3 linked regions of the Oreochromis niloticus genome follow. Each later gene encodes a partner of the first gene's protein in a complex. Links are inferred from orthologs where the notes say so. Each region holds a gene or a part of one and is shown in the gene's direction. Other genes may lie near its edges. The genes, in order: smarcc2, dpf1 and dpf3.

Region 1 (7,827 bases):
AATATGAAAAAGAAGAACAGCAAAAAAATATATATATTTATTGTATATTTAAAAATATACAACCTTAATTCCAAAACAATTGGTACTCTCCTTTCTCAAGGCACAAAATAGGGAGAGGAGAATCTTTAAAACAAGCAAACTGGTTTCCTAATGTTTACTGGTATTTGCATCAATAATAATAATCTGTCTACACCTGTGTTTAAAATACAGCTTTGCAACTTTGCAAGTCACCTGTAAAACTAACTACACCTATGAGCACTATTTCATTTTCTCTGTTTAGCAAATCTGCCCAGTGAAAAATATTAGCTCATTTTGAATTTGACAGTAGTAAGATATCTCAGTTGGGGAGGCGATGAAAAAGGCTGGAAAAGTAGGTGGTAATTAAAAAAGGGTAATTGGATTGGATTAATAAAACTTATTACTTCATCAGTTACATGATTGGGTATAAAAAGAACATTTTGTAGTAGCACAGTTTCTCAGAAGTAAAAATAGGCAAATGTTCATCAATCTGCAACAAAAACCCAAAACGGTATTTACAAACTGCTTAATAATTTTAGGACAATGGTCCTAAACATAAAAGTTTGAATATCTCTTCAATATCATCTACATTGCATAATGTCAAAAAATTCAGAGAATCTGGAGAAATCTCTGTGTGCAATCTCTGTGAAATCACTGGCCCTGTGGCAGCACTGCATTAAAAACAAGCAGAGAAATCACTGCATGAGCTGAGGAACACTTCCAGAAATCCTTTTCTGTGAACACAGTTTGCCGTGCCATACACAAACGCAGATTAAAGCTTCAACATGATCCTCAAACACCACCATCATCTCTGAGATCTGGACTGAGACAGAGTGGAGAACTGGTCTGTGTACAGACAACCCTCTATGGAAAACATGGAGAACAGGTCTTGTCTAAAGAGGAGAGGGACCATTCTGCATCTTTGATGGTACGGCGGTGCATCATTGTCTATTGAATTGGCAGCTTGCACAACTGGAATGGCACCAACAATGCTGAAACATATTTACAGGTTTTAGAACAACATATGCTCCCACCAGGATGGGAAGGCCTATAATATTTCAGCAAGACAACGCTAAACTGCATCTATTAGAACAGCATAAAATCTCTGTGTTTCTATTGTGAATAAATTATGGGTTTATGAGATTCGCAAATCATCCTGCAAATGTGCAAAATTACATTTAACTAAGTTTACATTTCTGGCAATGTGCAAATTGGTCAGGATAATAAGCACTGTAAAGGTGGAATTGCAATATGTTGTATGTGTGCAAAACCATTGATTTTACTGTAAATTACATTTATTTGTGGACATTTTTAGCTGCGTGTTTCTCTTTGTAGAATTTTAGTGGCAGTAAATCCCAAAAACAAAACATACACAACTAGAATAAGGTATTCCAAATTTAGTGAGTTGGTTAAGCAGGATCATGTCAGCCACAGGCATCCATAGCCACACAATGTTGCCAAATGGGCACATATTTGATATTCTGATCTATTCTGTAAAAAAAAAAAAAGCCATATCTTTAACAGGCAGCATTTCTTTACTTAGACATGTTTCTTTTTACAATATTCTGATTTTCCTAAAGTGTTGCTTTGACCTGAATGCTAACTTTAACATCCAAACAGGCTTAGAATGCTAACATGTTGATGTTTTGAAGGTTTTTCCATCCATGTTAGCATGCTAACATTTTTTGTACTAAGCACAAAATTCAACTATTGATCAAAAATAATATGAATAAGAAAAATGTGTTGTGGTTTGTACATGGTTGCTTTTGCACTGCCTGCACACATTCAGTGAAGACAGAGGAGCCTGAATATAAAATTTAATTGCATCAAACAATGCCTTGTGAATACCCTTTTTTTTCAGGTTTATAATTAAAAAGCTTGATGCCTAAAATTCTTCATGAGTGAGCTGAACGTACTAGTGCTGCAAATAGTTATTGAAATGTCAAAGATTTGTCATAATTGCTGCTACAGCAACCTGTTTGAAGAGAGCTTTCCCATTATCAGACTTGTTTCTTCACCTGCTGCTGCTTCTGGCCCTTTCCGAAGCCACCCAGTGAAAGTGAAACATTGAAACATGAAAGGGAGTCTCACCTCCCTGGAATAAAAACAAGGAGATGGATCTTTAATTAAAGGTGAGAGCTAATACTATTCAGAACAAGGAGGTTCTTGCTGAATGAGGAGCAGACAGGAGGTAAGGGGAATGCTGCACAGGGAGGGGGGGGGAGTTGTTGGGCATGTATCTCGGCAGTGTCTCCCTCCCTCTGAGTCCCAGCACTCCCTCCTTGCAGATTCCAGCGTTAAGTTAATTGGACAGGGAGAGGAGAGGGCTGAGGAGGGAAGCGTTCAGCCCCATTAGCAATCCCCCTGTGGAAGGCTGAGCCGAGAGGATCACAGACTCACAAATAGGAGGATTAAAATAATCAATAGGCTTCACTCTCTCTCCTTCAGCACAGGCAGCCCTGTGTACAACGCTCACACACACAAACACGCACCATTACAAAGATATGCACACACATGCACGCACGCACACGCTCCTGAGCAAATACAAACACACCAAGAGTCTGAGGAATACTAGTTCAAGGAGCACTACTCTGCCCAGTGGTGTCTGTGGACTTTCACAAATTAGTCTGGGTCAGGCAACATGCACACACATACACACACACACACACACACACACACACACACACACACCTATTCTCTGTTAATGAAGGTTAATTCAGCCTCTGACTAAACGAGGGCCAGTTTAAAGGTCAGGAACATGAAAACAGTCTGACATATCTATATTTTGCTCCGTTATTTCTGAACTTTAATGGCTGCTGAATTTGCTCTCACATAAAAGACTTTTGTATACATATATATATATATATACATATACATACTGAATATGCTGTATAATTAAAAGTCTTGTATCCATACAACATTAAACTTGTGACATGTGTGCAATTTTTAGTTCTTTTACTGCAGCAATTTAACTGAACACATATTTACATATGTAGTTTTGATTTAAAACAAGTACTTTATAAGAAGAAATAAAAGGTGACCAGAGGAAAATATCAAAGTGTTCAACATAATAGGGAATAGCAGAAAAAAATATCTACTCTGGCACTTAGCTGAACCAAATCTGGAATCTAATTTGAACTTTCAAATTCTGATAATGCTCACCACCTTTTCCCCACATGACCTTTTTAAATGAAGCACTGCACAGTTGAGACTCCTCATGCGGTACATACAAAATACTGCTCAGTTTTATCACACAGTAAGTTTATATAAGATTGTCCATTTGAGTAGTTTATGGAGGATTGAAAGAAAAAACTTAAAGTCCTACTAAACACACAAAGGCAAAAAAAAAGGACAACAAACAGACAACGTTTAATCATTTAATTTTTATGAATAGATAATTGAAAATCCTTTGAGAGGTCTTAACCCCCAAGTTAAGATAAAACCTCCAAACACATTTCCTGTAGTTATCGCCAGGCTGAGGAGGGGAATTGATTTAATTTGTCCACAATCACATAACAATACATGATATGCATCATTTCTTTAGGGACTATTAAAGTATTCTGATTCTGATGACACTGAAAACTAGAGGTTAAATAGAGACTGGACACCTGCTGGGACACTCTAAGTCTCTCAGTGTAAGTGCTTCCATGATTTAAGTTAAAACCATTGACTTAGTGCATAAAACACATATCCGAATCATGTCAATTACCATCAAATAGCAGGATTTACTACTTTTTGTCGCACTGGATCAGAAACTGTCGTTTTCCATTTTTATTTTTCACAGTTCAATAAAAGATAAAAAAACAAACACTACTTGCCTGCCTTCTTTCTTGAGTGTCTCGTGAGCACTCTTACTGACATCCTGTTGCAGGAGGTCATTTAATTGCTAAGGAGGTCAATCGCTGCCATTTCATTTTTTTCCCCCACACACATTTACAGGTAAGTGCTTTATTTTAGACTCACCATGTAGCCCATTCAGGGCACTGGCATAATCAGCCTCCTTATCACTTCTAGAGTGGATGCATATGGTGAATTTTACAAACAGGCACAGGCATCAAACTAACTATTAATACTGGTTATTAAATAATATTTTTATTAATACTCTGCAAGCTCCTGTACATTTTACACACGCCTGAGGATTTGTTCATTAGTGTGTTCCGCATTTGTTGAGCTTCTACAGATTTTACTCACACAGAAAAAAACATAGACTGCCGTCAGTATAACTTAAAGCTCTGCTGAAGTTTGCTTTTGATGACCTAACGATCCACCTGACTCTATTATGTAAGACTCTCTTCAAATACTGACAGCCGAATTGAGAAATTATCCGATACCGGACATGATTTTTTAAAAACTCATCTTATTAATTGGTCTCAATTTAATTGCTTACTGGTTGAGGAAAGTATGATAAAATCAAGAATAGGGTAAAAATGATTACTTTAATTTTTAAACATAGAAAGTAGGGAAGTTAACGAGCTCTCGCTGTCAGTTTTAGTCTACTTTTTTCTCCATTTTACTAAATTACTCTTTTTTTTTTCAAATAAAACAGCAGTTAGTTACCAGCAAACCAGATCAGCATTAAACCACTGATACATCTATCTATCTATCTATCTATCTATCTATCTGTGCGTGTGTTCGCTGAGAGGTTAGCATAAACATTTTTATAATCGTATTGTTGGAGGACAAAAACATTATCTACACCGCTGCGCCCCCTGTTGTACTTTGGTTGTCACTACAGTCCAAGGCTGCAGTTTCGCGCTGTGGTCGCTGGGCGGCAGGCAACTTCGACTAGTTGTCTGCAGGCAAAGATGGCGGTGCGGAAGAAAGACGGCGGCCCGAATGTAAAATATTTCGAAGCGTCTGATACCGTTTCTCAGTTTGATAATGTCCGCGTCTGGCTGGGAAAGAATTACAAAAAGGTACCGACCGCATGTTTTGCTATCCTACAGCGAGACCTTCCATTTTTCACGTTGAAATATGGCCACTTACCTATTGGGCAGAGGCAGTGACAAAGAGAGGAGGGAGGGTGCTGCTGAGCGTCCAGCTGTTTGATTCACTCGAGCCGGGATACAAAAGGATGCTGAGCCAACAGCTGCATCAGATGCAGCCACTAACGGCAGCTTCTCTGAGCACTGTTGTAGTTAAACCGATCTAAAACAAGCACACAGTCTGACCTCAGAGGATGGATTTTTGTTGAAGGGTGACTTTAGCCGGCCAGCCCGCTAGCTAGCTAGTAAGCTAATGGGCTAACGGTGAGGCAGCTCGGATCCAGATGTTGGCTCTGTGGCGCGCCGCGCTGACTGAAGCAATGTCCGGTGTTGAATAACACTGAGGACTGTGCTGGTGTTTAAACACAATAAACAAATAAAAAAAAATCATTTTTTACTAAACAGTGATAAAAATGAAAGGTTAGCGATATTTGTGACTCCATCCCCTCCCCATTTACCAATCCGTGTCGCAGTTTTCACTGAAATTTCCTTCCTTTGAGGTATCTGATAAAGGCATCCAGCAGCACAGTTGAGTTTATATTCATGTGTTTGCGCACAGTACATCCAGGCCGAGCCCCCCACCAACAAGTCTCTGTCCAGCCTGGTGGTCCAGCTGCTCCAGTTCCAGGAGGAGGTGTTCGGTCGACATGTCAGTAACCCTCCGCTTACCAAGCTGCCGGTACGTGTCTTAAGCATCTGTATATCTGTTACATGCAAAAATAGATACCTCATTTAAACCGCTGTGATTCTGAATGTGTTGAGTTGTATCCCTGCAGATGAAATGCTTCTTGGACTTTAAGTCAGGAGGGGCTCTCTGCCACATCCTGGCTGCAGCCTACAAGTTCAAAAGTGACCAAGGATGGTAAGACTTTCTTTCTAGCTGAGTTTAGGCGTCTGGGCTAGTGGCTGTTAAGTTACGGTGCTCAGTTGGATATTGGCTATGTTGCCGTTTCGTGTGTAACTCCAGTCTAAACTCCTGGTAGGCGCAGGTTTGACTTCCAGAATCCGTCGAGGATGGACCGAAATGTGGAGATGTTCATGACGATTGAGAAGTCCTTAGTGCAGGTGAGATTTGCAGAAGTGCTTTTATGGTTGTCAATGGACACTAGAAAATTTCAGGCCATATTTTGGTTCATTTATCTAACAGGAGTAAATTTTTGATGGTTTTTCCTACTGCAGGCATTAAATTTAAATGATAGCAAAGAGAACACCGTGTCCTGTGGTTACGCTAAATTTCTCAAGAGTCTGGGAATCACGCTGCCTGAGCATTACACACAGAAGTACTGAAAGACATCCAGTCACATGACCACAGAAATCCTACTTAATCAGTCCTGCAGTTTTCCAAGATCATTTAGATTTCTTCATCTGCTGTGGCATGCTGATTTCTACTTTTAATCAAGTTCATAGGACAAGTACTGGGCAATTAATATTCCAAAGAGGGCACATGAGAAACTGGGACTGTTATGGAAGACTGCATGAATAAGCTTATAGCAAAACTAATATTGGGCAGAACTGAGTTTCGATTATTGTATTGTTTTGTGAGTCTTCTTGATTATTTGAATCAATGCTCGCAAATGTAGTTATGTAAGTGATGTATCTGCTCCAATTCTTCCAGAACAACTGTCTGACTAGGCCCGTCATCTACCTGAGTCCTGACATAGAGCCAAAGCTGCTGGGGAAACTGAAAGACATCATCAAAAGACATCAGGTGTGTTTTAAAGGAGCCTTTCAGGCAGATCATTTACTACAGACAGATTTAATTTACATTCAAATGGTTCTACTCATGTTTTCTTGTATTGCAGGGCTCAGTAACCGAAGACAAGGCCTCCAGCTCCCACGTTGTTGTGCCTATTCCTGCCAGTCTGGAGGAAGGTGAGGTTTTGTCTCGGTAGGCATTGTTACAAGTTTTACTGCACGAGTCAGATTTGCGCTAACATCGTCTGATCTTCTTGGTCCAGAGGAGTGGGTTCGTCCTGTGATGAAGAGAGACAAGCAAGTGCTGCTTCACTGGGGATACTTTCCTGACAGGTTTGTTCTGAGCACCGTGCAGCTCACTTTTATCTACTTCTCTTATTTTCTCAATACATCTTTGGTTTTTAGAAGGTTAAGCTGACATTACCCCTCCTGCTGTGGTGTTACATGGCCAAACGTGCTTTTCCCACCTAATGCGAGTTTCGACCTCATTCCTTTCACTGTTTAGTTATGATACCTGGATCGCAGCCAGTGAAATTGAGGCTGCGGTAGAAGATCCTCCCTCCCCAGAAAAGCCCAGGAAGGTATTTGTTGTTGCTTTTTTCTGTCTGTGTCAGTCTGTATGAATTTAAACAGCAGATTTTCTAATACTCCCTGAGTTAAAACAAGTATTTGACCCCTTTATTAATGCTACATGACACTTGCAGTATTTAAATTCAAGGATCTTTTTTTTTATTTGTCCACTGTGCAGCACTTAAATGTTACAGATACATCTGTATGTTTTTGGAAACCTTTTTGATTTCAGCTTGAATTTAAATTTGTTCTTGTTCTTTATAAAGTCTTTAATAACAGAGGTTAATATCATGAGTTTCAGTCTTTTATTATAACTTTTATTATAACTTTATTATAACTCAGTTTAGCTCTTCCTCCTTCCACCTCCTCCTCCACCATCCTGGTGGTTGACATGATTGCTGAAAATATTTCACTTCTGGGCAGATAATAATTGGTTTATTTATTAATTATTTATTTACAGGTCCATGCAAAGTGGATTTTAGATCTGGACCAGTATAACGAGTGGATGAACGAGGAGGACTATGAGGTTGGAGAGGGCTGTCCTAAGAGGAAGAGGATC
Region 2 (7,893 bases), on another chromosome or scaffold:
TAAACATGAGTTAAGCATGTTTTAGTACTCACACCCTCCCAGACGTGCTTGACCTCTGATCGCACCACACCACTCTCTGGGTCCTGGTTTCCCATCCAGTACTGTCTGCTGCGGTAGATTACCCCACAGCTAGCACACTCCAACACATATCTGAAAGAGGGACGAGAGGAACAAGGCAGCAGACAGTGGAAATGAGATTATTGGCTGAAAGGCAAAGAGGAGTGTGAGCGTCCGCCTAAGTGTGTATATGTGAGTTTACATACCCTGACCAGGCGTACTTGGCCAGTCCAAACCAGGGATTATCAGACGAAGCTGATGTTTTGGGCACAACAATCACCTCTCTGCCAGCTTCATAGCACCTCTGGACATGCAACAGATGTAACAGATGTAAACAACAACAACATACAGGTTCACCAATACTAGCTGAGAAATTCTGTTCTTACCTTACAGATGAGGACCTTGTTGTTGTACTGGTGTGCATACTGGCAGAGTCCATCTGCCATGTGGGGAACTCTGTCTCTCAGGTGGTTCATTCCATTTTTACAGCGAATGCTAGAGAGTCACACCAACATGACAGATATTAGAGTTGGTGAAGGAGAGGGGGGATTTGTAAGAATGCTTAAAACCTATGGTTACAGTGCACTCATTATGATTTTTCACACACACGCTGCTCTCAGGTTTTAGGAAAGAGGAAGGAAGAAGAGTAGCTAAGAAGCAAAGTAGGTTTCTCTTCACCAAAAATGGAAAAAGAATTAGCACTTATGCATCCCACTGAGGAGGTAGTTAACATCCATGAGAAAAGCAGAGGATTCCCATTTTAAAAGAATATTGTTCTCTACTGTGATTCAATCACAGAGACAGTAAAAGATTGCTGTTCTGAGATGGAAAACTTGAACTATTTGGATCAAACTAAATGAGAAAAAGCTCAGGAAAGGTGGGGTGTGGTTATAATAACAGTCCATCCAAGGTGATTAGGTAATCTGCAAACACCCAGCGCTGGAGATCAGTACAGTTTCCAGATCAACAATAATAATAATACAGGTATGACACACACTTCTCAAACATCTAAATATTTACATAATTTAGGAATTATTCATCTTTCCTTTTTTCAAAAAAGTGACACATTTCATAACAATGCAAAAACAATGCAAAGAGTTAAAAAGACAATTACATAAAGTAAAATTTCAAGCCTCAAAGAATTTGACCTTGTGCTTTCAGGTTTAGGTTGAGCATACGTTCACATTTAAAGGACCAGTTCTAGCTCTTGTGTGTAGACAGTGTTACTGACTTACTTGCAGCTGAGACAGAGAGCTGAGCAGGTGAAGTATTCATCTGGGAAGAAGGAGTACAGTGTCATCTTTTCATCTGATAGTTCTCCACAGAAACGTTCACTCAGAGCCTGGGGAAACAAAAACAGAACGGATTAGAAGACAGAAAACTAGATGGGAGCTGAAAAAAAGGCTGAGGAGACACAAAGGAAGAATTAAAACAATCATATGCTTTTTCTTAAAGGCCTCTAATATGGTGCTTCTTCACTTACTTCTAGTGCGTGAAACACTATTGCAGGCTGGCGGGGGGACCGGGTATGAGTGTTCTTCACTTGCTGCTTGATGGCCTCTAGCAGCCCGCTATAGTTCGTGGGCGGCGTGATCGTCTGAGTGCCTATGTACTGCACTGAGCTGAAGGCCTCTGTCCCCAAACCCAGGTCATGAAAACGCTTCTGGAGGAGTGTGTCTGCATAGCCGGCCATCTTTGAGTCTACAACAGGAAAGAAAGACAATAACATTTAAATTTGTGACACGGGAAATTAAAACCAAGGGAAATAATTATCCTAAAGTTGTGCTTGGAAGTACCTTGGCCCAGGAGTTGCGTGTGTGTTGTTTCCTGGAAGATGATGACTGCAGGCCCCAGAGAGGACAGGGGTACATCCAGACCACAGCGGGTGGACAGGGCCCTTAGCTCTGGGGTGAAATGCTTCAGGTATGCCCCTGAGGCACTACTCAGGAACTGGAACATGTCATTGTGAAGACGCTCTGCCCGTGTGCGATACACCACTATATCCGACACTGCCAGCACCTGAAATTGAAATAAAAATGTATCTACAAATAAGATGACTTGTTTTTATCATGAAAACATTGGAAATGAGAAATAAAATGAGTTTCACTGTTCTGTTTACATGATTAGGATATAAGCATTACCTCAGTAGAAAAATTAACGAAGACAACACTAGAACTCAGAACACAAAATCACAGACTCCTCCAATTATTCCACCCAAACCAAGCAGCAACCGCTAAATTTACCTTCAGCAGCAGCCGCATTCTCTGGTTCTGATTGGCTGCGGCTCCCAAGAGGCCCTCTGTATCCAGCGCAATGAGGCTGAGAGTGGGGTTGTAAGCAGCCCAAACTCCCACAGTACAGGAGCTGGGGGACTTGGAGGTGTAGAAAACAGTCTCGCCATCAAATAGGACGTGGTTGAGCGTGTGAGACTTGCCATCACCGGTGTTTCCAAAGATGGAGAGGACCTTGACGCCCGCTACGTCAGCACAGCCAAGTCGCTCCACGAACTCGGCCTCATCCCGGACCTATAGGATGAGAGGAGAAAGAGCACCAAGAGACACGCTGGTTACAGAGATGAGCTATTTTGTGGCACCGTGATACAATTGAGCAAATTACTTTTACTGATTCTTTATGAACAGTATTATTTATTTAAAACAAAGAAACCAACAACAAAACAAAAAAAAGAACTGCGGGGGATTAGTCGCTTCAATCTTAACGCTAGTTGTTCATACAGATTATCTTAAGTACACAAGAAAACATTATCTCTTGTACTTTGTAACACAGTGTGAGGGTGTCTTCCATGTGGGTCAGCTGTGCTGTATGACTCACCAGGGACTTTCCTAATAACAACCCTGTCTGCTGTTGTGCTGCTCTTATTTACAGCTTAAACTTAATGTTTTTCACAGTATTATAATCAAGACACCATCCACACGTTAAAGCCACGGGCTGTATACAGACAAAGGCTAAAAACACAAGGGGCTAAACACGACGAACATCCAAACACGCTGTTTAACGTCGCATTAGCAAAGCGCCGTGAAGTAGCTAAAGCCTCAACAAACTTGCTTCATTAGCTTCAAGACAAAAAGCTCGATTTAGCTCTGAAAGCAGATTTGGCTCATCCAACATTTTTTTCTTTTCGTCACAAAAGATAGTTAAGGGCCTTCCGTAACAAGAGTCTTCCCCTTTCTAGCCTAGCGGCTAACTGTTAGCCGCCGTTAGCTCAGCTGATGTTAGCTAACTTTACCTGCAGGTTTTCTTGCTCGTCCACGAGCAGGAAGCTCCGGCCGCCGTCGTCGGGTCGGTCCTCTGGCTTCAATGGACTGATCGACAAACTATCCATTTCTTTCATCAGTATATCGGACATCGTTGTTTACTTAATTGAAACGCATTTGTGGCAGCGGCACCAAACAGCAAAGCGAAAGTTTCACATGACGCCTACCTGTCGGTCAATCACAACAACAGCGCGTGGACTATAGGAGGAGCCAGATGGGGGCACGCAGGGCAGCGACGTAAGACGCGCTTGTTTGACTTTGGTCTGTACATGAGCACCACCGTGTGGTCAGCCGCAATACAGCACCTCACATGCCATTCAACAAACTTCCTTCATCAGGGAATGAGAAAGCATAAAATAAAACCATGTGGACCCATGTGCACGGTCTTTTGTAGCCTGTAATATGTATTTTTTTTCTTATTTAAGATTAATGATGTAAACCAAACACAAATAACGTTCATCTACCATTTCTTGCTACGTTAATATAAAATAACACATTTATTATTCTTCACAACTAAAGCATAACGCACAAAATCAAAGTTTCCTTAACTGACAGAGAGTGTTTTATCGGAGCGGTGCTGCCATGCTAGAGCTGCTTGCTAATGTTCATTAAATATTTGTTAGCACAGATCTATAAATATCACATGTCACTGGCTTCAGAGCGGCGCCACTGCTGCTAACATGACATGGAGAAAGAAATTCCAGCATTGCTGCTCTAACGGCTCTGAGTCCTTCCTTCCTTCCTCCCTCCCTTCCTCCCTCCCTTCCTTCCAATGTCTAGGGAATGGAAAATGCCAGCCCAGGCTTTGGCATAGTCGCTTTTAACACCCTTGTCTCTAGCCTGTGTCAAATAAAATCGCCATCTGGGACAGATCCAGCAAAAGATGTAGTATGGGCAAGAAAACGAGCGAGTGCGGGAAGGATGCAATAAAGGATGGCGTGGTTAAGGATTTAGAGAGGGTCCCAGCCTTTCTCCGGGCTCAACTATGAGAGACAAATGTCTGAAAGAATCAATTATAGGCCTACTCCCAACCCATCACCCCTGATTAATGAATAATTAAAGCTTCTCATTGCAGGGCTACCTAACATCCATGAGACTAGCCATGAAGCCGCTAAGATTGCGCAGAAACAACTTCTCTTGATTTTCAACAAATGACTATACAGACCTGTCACAGTTTCCTTAACAAAACAGGCAAACATCTTTGTATGCAGTTAGTTTGTGCTTTTTGCTACTCGAGTATCCAGTTATTCCCTTTACAGTGCAGTTAAGGTGATACCTGACCCAAATTTGCACCCATATCCACAATCATACCTCTGTAAACAAACACAATTTAGTGTTTAGCAGCTATAAGAGACAGAGTCATCATCACATCCAGACAAGGGAACGATGCTTATAGGAGAGACTGACAGACAGTCCTGCAACCCAACCTTAACATAACTGTGGTGGATTTTTTCTTCTTCTTTCTTTTCTATAAATTCGGATGGGGGGTGTGGGGGGGCATTGCCCTAACAAGTCCGAGGCGGGACCGTGGTCCACTTAAACCGCTACCCCCCCTGGAACTTGTAGTACTGTGCTCCTCGGTGCGTCTCATGTTGACATGCATAAAAACTACACTTCCCCAAAGCTGTCACAGAGCGCTCCCGCCTCCCATTGGCTGGCCGCTCCAGCCGCAGCCCCAGAGAATGAATGAAATTGAAATAGCTGCTACATTACATGTACAATACCGGGCTCTGCAGTGTTGCATTCTATCATACTATATCAAAATGGCCACAGCGGTACAGAACCCCCTCAAATCGTAAGTACAACACGTTTCCTGAGTGTTTGCGCTTTTTTCGGGCATTGTGCATGCTGTCACTGTCAATTTAAGCCCCTCAATTTCCCACATATTTCCCCAGCATGATTACCAACGCGTCTATATGCATGCAGTGCATACAGCGGAGAATGAGATAATGTCAGGAGAGGCGAATGAGCCCCGGAGAAAAGTTAGATTTAAAGCTGATGGAGGTTTCTGGGAGGTTTTTTGGGCATGAGTGGTGGGGGGATTATTGCGCGCTCCGATGCAATTCATATAATCATTTCTCTGAGCCAACAGCAGCGTGTGTGCAGGGATATGGAGGAATGCTGGAGGTAGATTTGGGTGACCCGGTATGTCCCTTGCCAGTGCAGCCAGCCAAGATCACGGCCAAAGCCGGGCTGGAGTGGCAAGGCTGTCCGGGAGGAAGGGGGATGGTTTAGATGGCTTTACAGTACCTGTGTGTATATTTTGTTGAAGGGGGGCTGAGAGGGGGTAAACAGGTAGACAGAATGAAGTGCTCCGTTCCCGGGTTTTTAGGCTGCAGCGTTACCTTTACCGCTGGACCTCTTGGAAACGTATAGTGCGAGGTAAATAACGCTCCTCCAAGACTTGCTTTCATCTTCGGCGCTTAGAATAAAGCCTGGAATCCAATCCAAAGCCCGGCGCTTTACATTTAGTGCAGCTACATCACAGCGGACATTTATCTCCACTGACGGACGTTAAAGCGGCGGGTTTCCCCGTGAAGTTTCTTCCGCGATGATCCCCTTTGTGCAGTTTTTTTTTGGGGGGGGGGCGGGGGGGAGAGTGGAATGTCTTTTTTTTGTTTTTTTGTTTTTTGTTCTGAGACTGGTTTCAGCGGAATGCAGACGCCTGCTGCCCGCCTCGGCTCCCGGCCAAAAAGGTGGCTGATGTGCGTCTGTCAGCGGGTACACACGTTCAGCCAAAACAAAAAAACAAAAAAACAATAGCTCGAGTACCTTGGAGTGTTTGAGCACACAAACGCTCCAGCTCAGGCAGTTTGAAACAAAGAAAAGTCACAAGACCTATGTGCCAAAGGAAGGAGGGGGGGAGGCACATCGGATGCTGTGCAGGTTTTTTACCTGAGCAGGGAGATGGGATATAGTGTCTGTCTGTCTGTCAGCTTCTCCGAGAGGCGACATTTCGCGCATTTCCATGAACGACTGCCCTGTACGTGCCTGCTGTGAAAAGCTCCTCACACGAGAGAGGGAACTGGATTTGTAACGGTGCTGATTGGTCAGCGAGCCCTGATTGACTGTGATGGTATTTTGGGGGTGTTTTGGTTCAAAGTACTTGCGCTACAACGCAACGCAGGGACCACAGATATAACGCAAACACGCAGGAGATGAATCATTTATTTTTGGTTTATCTATGCTCTAAAGGGCAGGTATGTGGCAATGCCGATGACGGGAATGGACGGGTGGAAAATGATGGAGGCTCCTCTCCTCTCCTCCACAGGATGCTCATCCAAGCAAAGAAAAAGTGTGTCCAGATTGTTCCCAGAGGCCCTCAGTGGCACCATGTCAGGGGATTAAATTGACTCATTTGCATGGAGTACACACCAAGACACACAGACAGAGAACACAGGGTTTGGGTACGAGGAGGAGAATAGAATGGGTGGAAAAGTGTACAAAAGACAGCAGAGTAAGTGGTTAGAAAGAGTGACTAATGAACTACAGCCCAATTTTGAGTGGTGGTCTTACACTGATTTCTTTTTAAGTGCTTCAAGTTAGACAAAAACCTCCATATTGTTAGCCAGTATCAACCCTGCAGGGATGTTGGATTCCCTTAAAGCACGTGAGAAGAGGACAAAGCTGGATGTATTTATTTATTTATTACACAAGGCCACAGCAATCAAAGCGGCCTTTAATATCTCACCAACTGCATAAATGCCATCATTACGCAGTGTGGGTTTAACTGTGTTCCAGTTACCGCTCTGCAATGGGCTTTTAAACAAGCCCTTGTAATTAGCATGTCTACAAACAAACTTGCTATTAGAGGCTTACAAATTAGGGACCCATCCAGTAAAATGGGCCAAACAACCAGCAAAATTGGGTTCAAAGTCAGCCCTAATAGGGTGGCTGAGCCCTGCGCGCCTGGAGACGACGCCTGTTGTGCCCATGAATGTCCCCAAACCTTGCTGGATCTCTGCGGTGAATTGGCATTAATTCAGTGTATATAAATCTTTGGGAAGCTGCTGGTCCCCACTGTCCAGCTGAGTGTGAGTGGGACACTGTGACAGCCAGTATACGTGCGTGGAGGTACGGTGGAGGGTTCATGTGCAACAGCAAATGAGGGGAGGAGAACACTGAGCTCCATCCGATCTGCTGGGCATTTCCCTACCAGCCCCTCTCCCTGTCTATCACTCACTCTCTCTCTGCTGGATTAGACTCGTTTATAATCTCTCTTTCTCCCTCCCTTTTACTTCCTCTCTGTCCTCCCATCACCCTGCTGCCCTCTCTTCCACTATATGCCTCCCTCCTTCTTCACCACTTTCCCAATCCATCACTAGTTTTGCCATCTCTCGTTTTTATTCAGCCATCTCCTTTCTCTCTCTCCCTCTCTCTCATTTTGTTGTCCATTTTCCTTCTTTTCGGCCTCAAACCATCTGAGCCCTCTCCCCTCCCACCACTCTTCTTTACATTGTGAATCAAGGCATGGCCACTCTTTTAATAAACTACATCGATGGGAAATTCCTACGCATTCTCTCAGATCCCTCGAAACCCCGTTATATAGCTTACAGCTAAGAGT
Region 3 (7,431 bases), on another chromosome or scaffold:
CTGACCCACTGTGGAAAGAACGGTAAACAGTGAAATTGCATGGAAAAAAGGTTTATACCAGTGAGAGTATTGAGTGTTGAGAGTGTTTTATCCTCTCCTACCTGCTAGCAAAAGCCCTTCACACTCATTGACATGGATGGGAAGGTAGGCATGCTCATTATGATGACCTTTGTACTCCTGCACTGGCTTTGTGACTCGCACATCCCACAGCTTAATCTGCAAAGAAATTAGAAAACACACAAAGGCTCAACAGAACTATCCTTGAATTATTACCTAATTTCAAATCATTCCTTCCTGATATTTTCTACCACAGTTTGTCAGTATGGCCTGATGGTACTGTGTTTACCAAGTCTTTCCGCATGAGGCTAAGAAGAAAAAGAGTCAAGTCAAGAACCTGACCTGGCCCAGCATGTCAGCAGCCAGCAGGTAGTTCTCATCCTGCAGGACGCGTACAGAGGTGATGGCTGATTCTTGATGGAAGCGACTGGCCTTCCAGCTGTGATCTCTGCGGCCGCGCTGTCGGAGGTCGATGCTGAAGATCTCCCCCGATCTGCAACCGTTAAACAGGACAGGAACCTGTGGACGTAAAGATGTACTTTCTTTTGCTTGGTGTTCTTACAGAGTGCTTCAAAAACTTTAAAGTTACAAATGCCTCACCCTAAGGGCAAACTGCTGAGCCAGGACATCACTGCCGACGCTGTACGTCTGTGTTCTGCCTGTCTCTGCATCCTTCACAATCACTCTACGAGACAGGCCTGCCAACACACACATAAACATGATTATTTTAGATGTGTAATTTTCTCCTTTCTATAATGACAAAAATGTTTAGCTGCGGTACTAACCAGTGCTGAACGTCTTGTCAAACTGGGGGTTGAGGCACCAAGCACAAGACCAGGCTGAGGATATCTTAAAGCTGCACAGCATTCCAGGCTGATCTGAAGAAGGAGTACAAGAAGTAAGAAGAGAAGGGTGTTGAGGGTAATAGGGAGGTACACAACAACAGCAAAACTGCTTTCAAAACATATTTCAAAATAAAAGTCTTCTAGAATAATAATTCCAAGACTGAAGAAGCTTATTTGAAAAGTATGTTTTACCATACTGCTACCTGGGTCCTTCAGAAATGAACTACAAAAAGGCAATGTGACTGCTGCATATTGTGCAAGAACCCTGACAAACCTGGGTTGGAGTTGCTGAAGAGGGAAGCAGGAAGTAAACTCACGCAGCCAGGGGTGTCTGCTACTCCCACCAGACACAGTCTGATAGTTACTTCAGTCAAGGACATACAAGTTTCACCAAAACAGTGAAGAGATGTTGACACAGGTGTGCACTTTATAGAGCTAAAATGTTACCGTTTTGATGATAGTCACCAAGTGTAGTCTTTTGAAAACAACAGCAAAATGAATCCACAAATAATGCAAATGAAAAGGACAACTCATAAGTGATCTTTGTTGCCAGGTTAAGCCCTTCATTTGAAGGTTAAGTGAACTAGAGTTAGCGCTCTAATTAAACTGTGGAAGGATACAACACATGAGAATCGGGGTAATTTACTGAAGCCCAGCAGATGGAATTGACCTGAAACATGTTAGCCAGATCAGAGTGATTAATATTATTTAAACAGACCAAATGTTTGTAGAAACATCATAAAAACAGGCTCCAAGATAAATGTGAATTAATTCATTTTTATTTCCTGCAGTGTACTAAATAGAAACTAAAAAAATGCAAACATATTCTTTGTATTCAGAGAAGGTCTTTTATCTCCAAAGAAATGCTCCTACCTTCCGATTAGTGAAGTAGAGGTTATCGCACATTTCCACAGACAGAGACCCCTTGCTGCTGCTGCTGAAGTTCATGATGCCATACTTGCAGCCGCCATGAGAGACATCGTTGACTGTGAACACTCGCTCACACGCCGAATCCCCCTGAAAAAGAAACAGCAACAAAGAAACAAAGTGTATGCACACCATCAACTACAGATAGGAGCCATTTTTAAAGGTAACCTACTGTGTTCATTTCCAGCAATTAAGAAAAAAAAAGGACTCTAACGTCAACGTTTAACATTCAAAACAATCTTTTTTGTTGTTTTAAAAAAAAAAAATCATACACAGGGCCTTGGTGGACCCAAAATCATCCTCTGGATGAAGCAAACTGCTCTAACTCCCTCTCCCTCCCGTGAAACCAACTCTAACTAACATTTATTCCATTGAAACATGTGTTTTGCACTGTGTTTGTGTGTGTGTGTGAGTGTTCTCACCACTATGAGTCTGAAGTTGTCGGTGTTCGAGATGCTGTTGTCTGTGCTCTGGATCTCTAGTTTGTGGCGTCTCATTCCACTGACCTTCACCTCATGGACGAGTCTGGAGACCAAAAGTAACCATAGTAACAGACTAGCACTGTCTGCAGACAATCTACTAACCCAGGATAATTGATACACTTTCCTCTTAGCTTTCTGACAGTGTCTCTGTAGCAATTTATGTATTTATTTAGACAGTTTGCCTGTAGGATAAAAAGAACTAGAAACTTCCTCATATGCATTTCATTACTTTTTGTTTTTCCATTTATTCATATCATTCCCAGTGATGCAGAGTATTTTCTTTGACTGCATTTATGCATGTTTCTCCATCTTTTTATTACCATTTAGAATAACTTGTCTAAACAGATTAGCATCATTATTAGTGGCCAGCAAAGCTCAGAAGAAAAGTCACTCTACACATGCAGAACTGATTAGCGTTAAAGTTTCTCTTTGTTTCCCATAATCCGTTACAGCTGTGGCTAGGACATGGGAAAAACAGTGTTATGTTGAGTTTTGCGTGCCTGCAGCGCTGTGACACAGTACCTGCAATAGGAGTGCTCAGGTAATACGCCTAGATGTCGTTTCTGAAGTAGCAGCGAAGTGTTTAGTCCTCTTCTTGGTGCTTTCTGTAAACAACAAGGAAAATGTGTGTACATGTTTACAACCGAGGTTTCTTTCTTTACGACTTCTTAAACATTTATGTTCCGGATTGAAGAAGAGCATGTGCTTATGCTAAGATCAACTGTGATCTGTGAAGTGTTTTATTCCTACACAGATCACAGTTGTGCTCTAATGCTGTACTGTGATGATGTCATTACAGCTGCTGCCATAGCCATAATCCTTTAGTACACTGCACAAGGTTTATGGTAAGCTTTCATCTAGAGGGCATAACTTAAGCATATCAGATGACTGTGTCTGTCTACAGCAACAGGAAAAAGCTTAATGGAATCTTAAAAGAATAAATATGATAAAAATGCTAAAAGACAAAGAAGATTAAAAAGATTTGCCCACCACCCTCGACGACAGACTTACTTTTCTCGTTTTTTCATCTTCTGCCAACATCTTGTTCCTCTCCTTCTCTCTTTCTTTCTGTTGTAGCTGCTCTCTGGTTAGTGGGTTACAGTTGTTGTGCCCGGGCAATAGCCGGAAGTAACGGTTTTTCTCTGGGTCAAAATAGAAACCTGGCAGCTCTGGCAGGAGAAAAGGAGGTAGAAATTAGGCTTGTGCATCTTTCATTTGATTTTCCAAGTGTATCCTCTTTTTTTCAAGTGCTCCTGGACAAGACACTGGATGCAAAACTACTGTTTAAGTACATATGTATTTAATTTAAGTGTTGTGCTCTCGTTTGCCTTTAATAATAAGGGCTGGTGGCTCCAGAACGCAAACATGCACTTTCAATACTGTATGTTACTGACCTGGTGCAGCACTGCTGGCTTTAGAAGAAGACGAGGAAGACAAGGAAGAAGAGGAATGTGAGACAGGCTGGTTAGCATGCTGCCTCTGAGATGGTCTGTGTGAGGGCCCTGCATCATCACGTTCATACCTTTGAACAGGAAACACACACACACAACAATGATACTGACATACTGATCACTGTCATTACAAACGCTGTATTTTAGTATGGCACATCCTCCATACTTTAACGTGATATAAGTGTCATTTAACGTAGCTACCACTGCTGTCGGTTTCCTCGGTGCCATCCACGGCGCTGACCAGCACCTTGTCGCGTGTGCGGTCGCTGTCCTTCTCGCCAGTTCCACTTCCTCATTTCTTATGGTTCGGCGTAGAAGTAAAATGGTCCTGACTGCGTGTTGCTTTTCATTCACTTCTCTGTGTTTGGCAGTCCGGGTGTTTATAGGCAGATTACCATCAACACCGTTGGGCTAACGTTAGCTGCACATCTTTCTGCACACGTTTTGACACGTTTGCTGGACATTCACCATCGATTAAAGTAAACGACGTATTTATAGGTCGATAAACAAACGTTGAGTTGACACTGTACTGGGTTTATTTTCTTAATAACATGGCACTAACATGAAAGTAATTAAACCTCACTAGCTAGCTAACTCCCGTGTAGTAACGTCCAACCATGCCATCCCCGCCTCCACACGTCTTTCATTGGTCCATTGAGAACAATAATATCTGACGTTTTAGACAGTCATTGGTAAGTTTCTCCGCGAGCTCTCGGGATAACCGTGTAGAAAATTACTTTTATTTCACTGGATTCTCGGAAATAGCTGGATATTGTGATAAGTGACTGCTCGACATATATACGCCCTTAACACGATATATTTTAAAGCGGCAATGACTTTAAATTACAAAAAACAAAATTAATGTTTGATATGTAGTTGGATTTATTTTCCAGCCATTAAAACCTCAAAAAACATCAAACAAAAACATTAGAAGTGAGACTGTAATAGTATCCCATGCTACATAGCATTCATGTTGTGGTTTTCACTGTTAAGGCTAAATCAAGTTAATTTCATGGTGTTATTACAATCTGGGGTCTGGGGCATTAATTTTGACAGATTTATCTGAAGCCACGCCTAAAGTCCTGATGCTGGTGCTGTATTGGCAGGGAGCACAGCGCACAGGACCGCATTGGCTGTTTTTTTTTTTTTTTTTTTCTTTTTTTCATTAGGGTCCCAAACTACACCGAGATTTGGAATATTACGTTATAGTCCTACAGGAAGATGGCGACTGTCATTCATAATCCTTTGAAATCGTAAGTACATTTCTTTTTTGTTATTATTATTTTAATTACTGCATCGTGTAAGAGAAATGTAACGAGCTATTATGACTGTATGGGGATTGCACGCGCTTTTAAATAAGTCTAACATTTAATACCTTTAGCATACACTTGGGCAGTCTCCGTATCTTCAGGTACCGTTGCCTAGTTGCTGTATTGTGTAATACGAATATAAAAGCATGCACTTATGCACGGTGTACGGACGGAAAACATCACGTCCGCGCGCAAATGACTACATTCAGTTTCATTTATGCATAAAGTTGCGGACATTCTACTTTTAAAAATAAATAGAATAAAAACAAATCCGTCTGTCAGAAGTTTGCCTACGGTCCTTATGGGGGATATTTGCGTAGTTAATATAATGCAAGCACTGACACAAAGCTCCCATTGCGCGACTCGTGCTTGTCTGAGCCTGACAAGCACACGCACAGCAGGTTATTACATTAACTTTAATATGTGTGCGTGGAGGAATAAACTGCTTAAAGCCGATCTTGGCGGTTTGAAAATGCATTTGTGGAAAAATGTGTATATGAGCATGGGTTTAAAAAAAAGGTTAATGGGATGGGATCCTAAGTAGAGTAAAGATTTACGGGATAAAACCAACTTTCATTATATCACAGAATGCATGTTCCCCCTCCTGCTGCTGGCTGACGGCAGATGTTTACCACTGGCCATGTGGAATGCGCAGTGTTTGACAGTTTCTTGTGCAAGAGGCAAGTGTTTTAATAATTTGAACGGAATGCTGCTGCGGGTCCCTTAAAATAGATTCTGAAATGATGCTCTTATTTTGTAGAGCTCTTTTTTGTTGTTGTTGACAACCAGAAACATGTCATAAATGGTTACTGTGTGGAGGGGGGTGGACTTAATGCTGCTGTCTTTTACCGAAACAGATTAGGCTGTAGGGAATGAAGGTATATGTGTTTGCTTTTGTGTGCATGTAGAGCAGCAGATTAAAGAGCGTCCCAGTATTTCAGTGTTTCGCTGGGTCCATCTGTTAACAGAGAGGTACACGTAAAAAAAAAAAAAAAGACAGGCTGATGCTGGGGCAGAGGGAGGGAGGGAGTCCCATCTGCCCTTTGCATGCAGCAGGGCTTTCTCAGATAGACACCCCCCACCAATCTAATATCTGCAAAAAAGGGAAAGCAATATGCATATGGACACAGGACCCCACCTACCACAACAGACATACTAGTATAAGCTCAGAGCAAAATAATGAGAGGCAACTGTAATGAAAAGTGTATGTGAAGTGTAATGTGTTGGAATGTAAGACCCAGTATCAAGTAACATGTGAGTTACAACCTTGGGAAGTAAAGTCGCGGTCTACTTTTTAGACAGAGTCTACTGTGTTTGAAACAATAGGCCTTACTTCTGAGTCGTACTCAGGATGTGGCACGTTAATAATGCGCGCTCAGTGAGGACGTGGTAATAATCTAGCCTGCTCTCTTGCCAGTGCCCAGCTCTGACAGATGAGTTATAACCATAAGGAACATGGCAGTAAATATGTCTGGCTTTGTGGACTCGCTCACTCATGTTTAGCAATGCATATTTTCCTCGACCGACTCAAATTCTCATTTTCAAAAAGACTTTTGGTAATTGAATCCTGGGAGGCCGGGTGGGATAATGAGAAGCCGACATGAGAAGTATTCAAATAAGCGCCGCGATTCATATGCAGAGATGTGGATATCGCGCCTGTTACCTTCTTTCATTAGAGTTGGATTTGTAAATAAAAACCAAAGAGCTCAGGTGGGATGTGGTTTGGTTGTGTTTGCACAAGGATTGAGAGAACTTGAACTGAGATTAGAGGAAATGTAAGGGAGATGTAGGGTTGTCAGTGTGTTTGGGGTCGTGTGTTTTTATTGTGGGTTTTTTTTTTTTGCATGTATGCGTGGAAGTGCGCCCCTCCCCCAGTTCTTGTGAGAGGGAGCATGAGTGAGTGATGGAGGAGGGTGGAGGGGTGTCTGTCTGGCTGCATTTAGTCCTGCTGCATACATTTATACTACACTCTGAGCGCTGGGGTGAACCCTGGCCTTTGTCTATCCGAGCTCAGGGAATGGGAATGGAATGGTTTCCAGGCACAGACAATTAAATGGACAGGAACATTTTTTTTTTTTAAATGGAAACCTCCAAGCAGTGATCAATGCTTTTTCTTTTTTTTTCATGTTCTGCACATGGAAACATTTTTCTCTCTCTATGGGTATATGTGAGACTTTGGAGAGCTGAGAGATAAGCATGTGGTATCCTTTACAATATAAAATAGCATATTTTATGTTGGACAAACATTTTATTCTCCACATTTCCTCCAGTGATGCTCATGCTGAGTTGAAATGACTTATGGGTCAAGCCATGTCTACACCTTGCACTCCTTCACCTCTCCTGGCTTCTGGTGTCTCTG

Evidence for each region.
Region 2: smarcc2 (region 1) and dpf1 share a complex: the UniProt entries of both Homo sapiens proteins name them as parts of the neuron-specific chromatin remodeling complex. The link is inferred for Oreochromis niloticus from reciprocal best matches to the Homo sapiens genes SMARCC2 and DPF1.
Region 3: smarcc2 (region 1) and dpf3 share a complex: the UniProt entries of both Homo sapiens proteins name them as parts of the BAF complex. The link is inferred for Oreochromis niloticus from reciprocal best matches to the Homo sapiens genes SMARCC2 and DPF3.

The regions. Positions count from the first base shown.
Region 1 is NC_031970.2:23,534,609-23,542,435, reverse strand, and holds the start of smarcc2 (SWI/SNF complex subunit SMARCC2), read left to right. Parts: upstream 1-4,781; 5' UTR 4,782-4,823; coding exon 4,824-4,934; intron 4,935-5,562; coding exon 5,563-5,682; intron 5,683-5,779; coding exon 5,780-5,865; intron 5,866-5,986; coding exon 5,987-6,068; intron 6,069-6,618; coding exon 6,619-6,711; intron 6,712-6,805; coding exon 6,806-6,875; intron 6,876-6,961; coding exon 6,962-7,031; intron 7,032-7,203; coding exon 7,204-7,279; intron 7,280-7,728; coding exon 7,729-7,827. UniProt on the Homo sapiens protein: Involved in transcriptional activation and repression of select genes by chromatin remodeling (alteration of DNA-nucleosome topology).
Region 2 is NC_031979.2:8,686,135-8,694,027, forward strand, and holds the start of dpf1 (zinc finger protein neuro-d4), read left to right. Parts: upstream 1-4,873; 5' UTR 4,874-4,918; coding exon 4,919-5,124; intron 5,125-7,893. Other genes in the region: si:ch211-11n16.2 (zinc finger FYVE domain-containing protein 1), read right to left, coding at 33-150, 264-361, 444-552, 1,293-1,399, 1,541-1,758, 1,854-2,076, 2,301-2,582, 3,302-3,421. UniProt on the Homo sapiens protein: May have an important role in developing neurons by participating in regulation of cell survival, possibly as a neurospecific transcription factor. Belongs to the neuron-specific chromatin remodeling complex (nBAF complex).
Region 3 is NC_031980.2:5,880,133-5,887,563, forward strand, and holds the start of dpf3 (zinc finger protein DPF3), read left to right. Parts: upstream 1-4,366; 5' UTR 4,367-4,454; intron 4,455-4,537; exon of another isoform or gene 4,538-4,931; 5' UTR 4,932-4,983; coding exon 4,984-5,015; intron 5,016-7,431. Other genes in the region: wdr21 (WD repeat domain 21), read right to left, coding at 1-8, 102-216, 400-576, 658-755, 843-935, 1,177-1,256, 1,523-1,572, 1,776-1,919 and 5 more. UniProt on the Homo sapiens protein: Belongs to the neuron-specific chromatin remodeling complex (nBAF complex).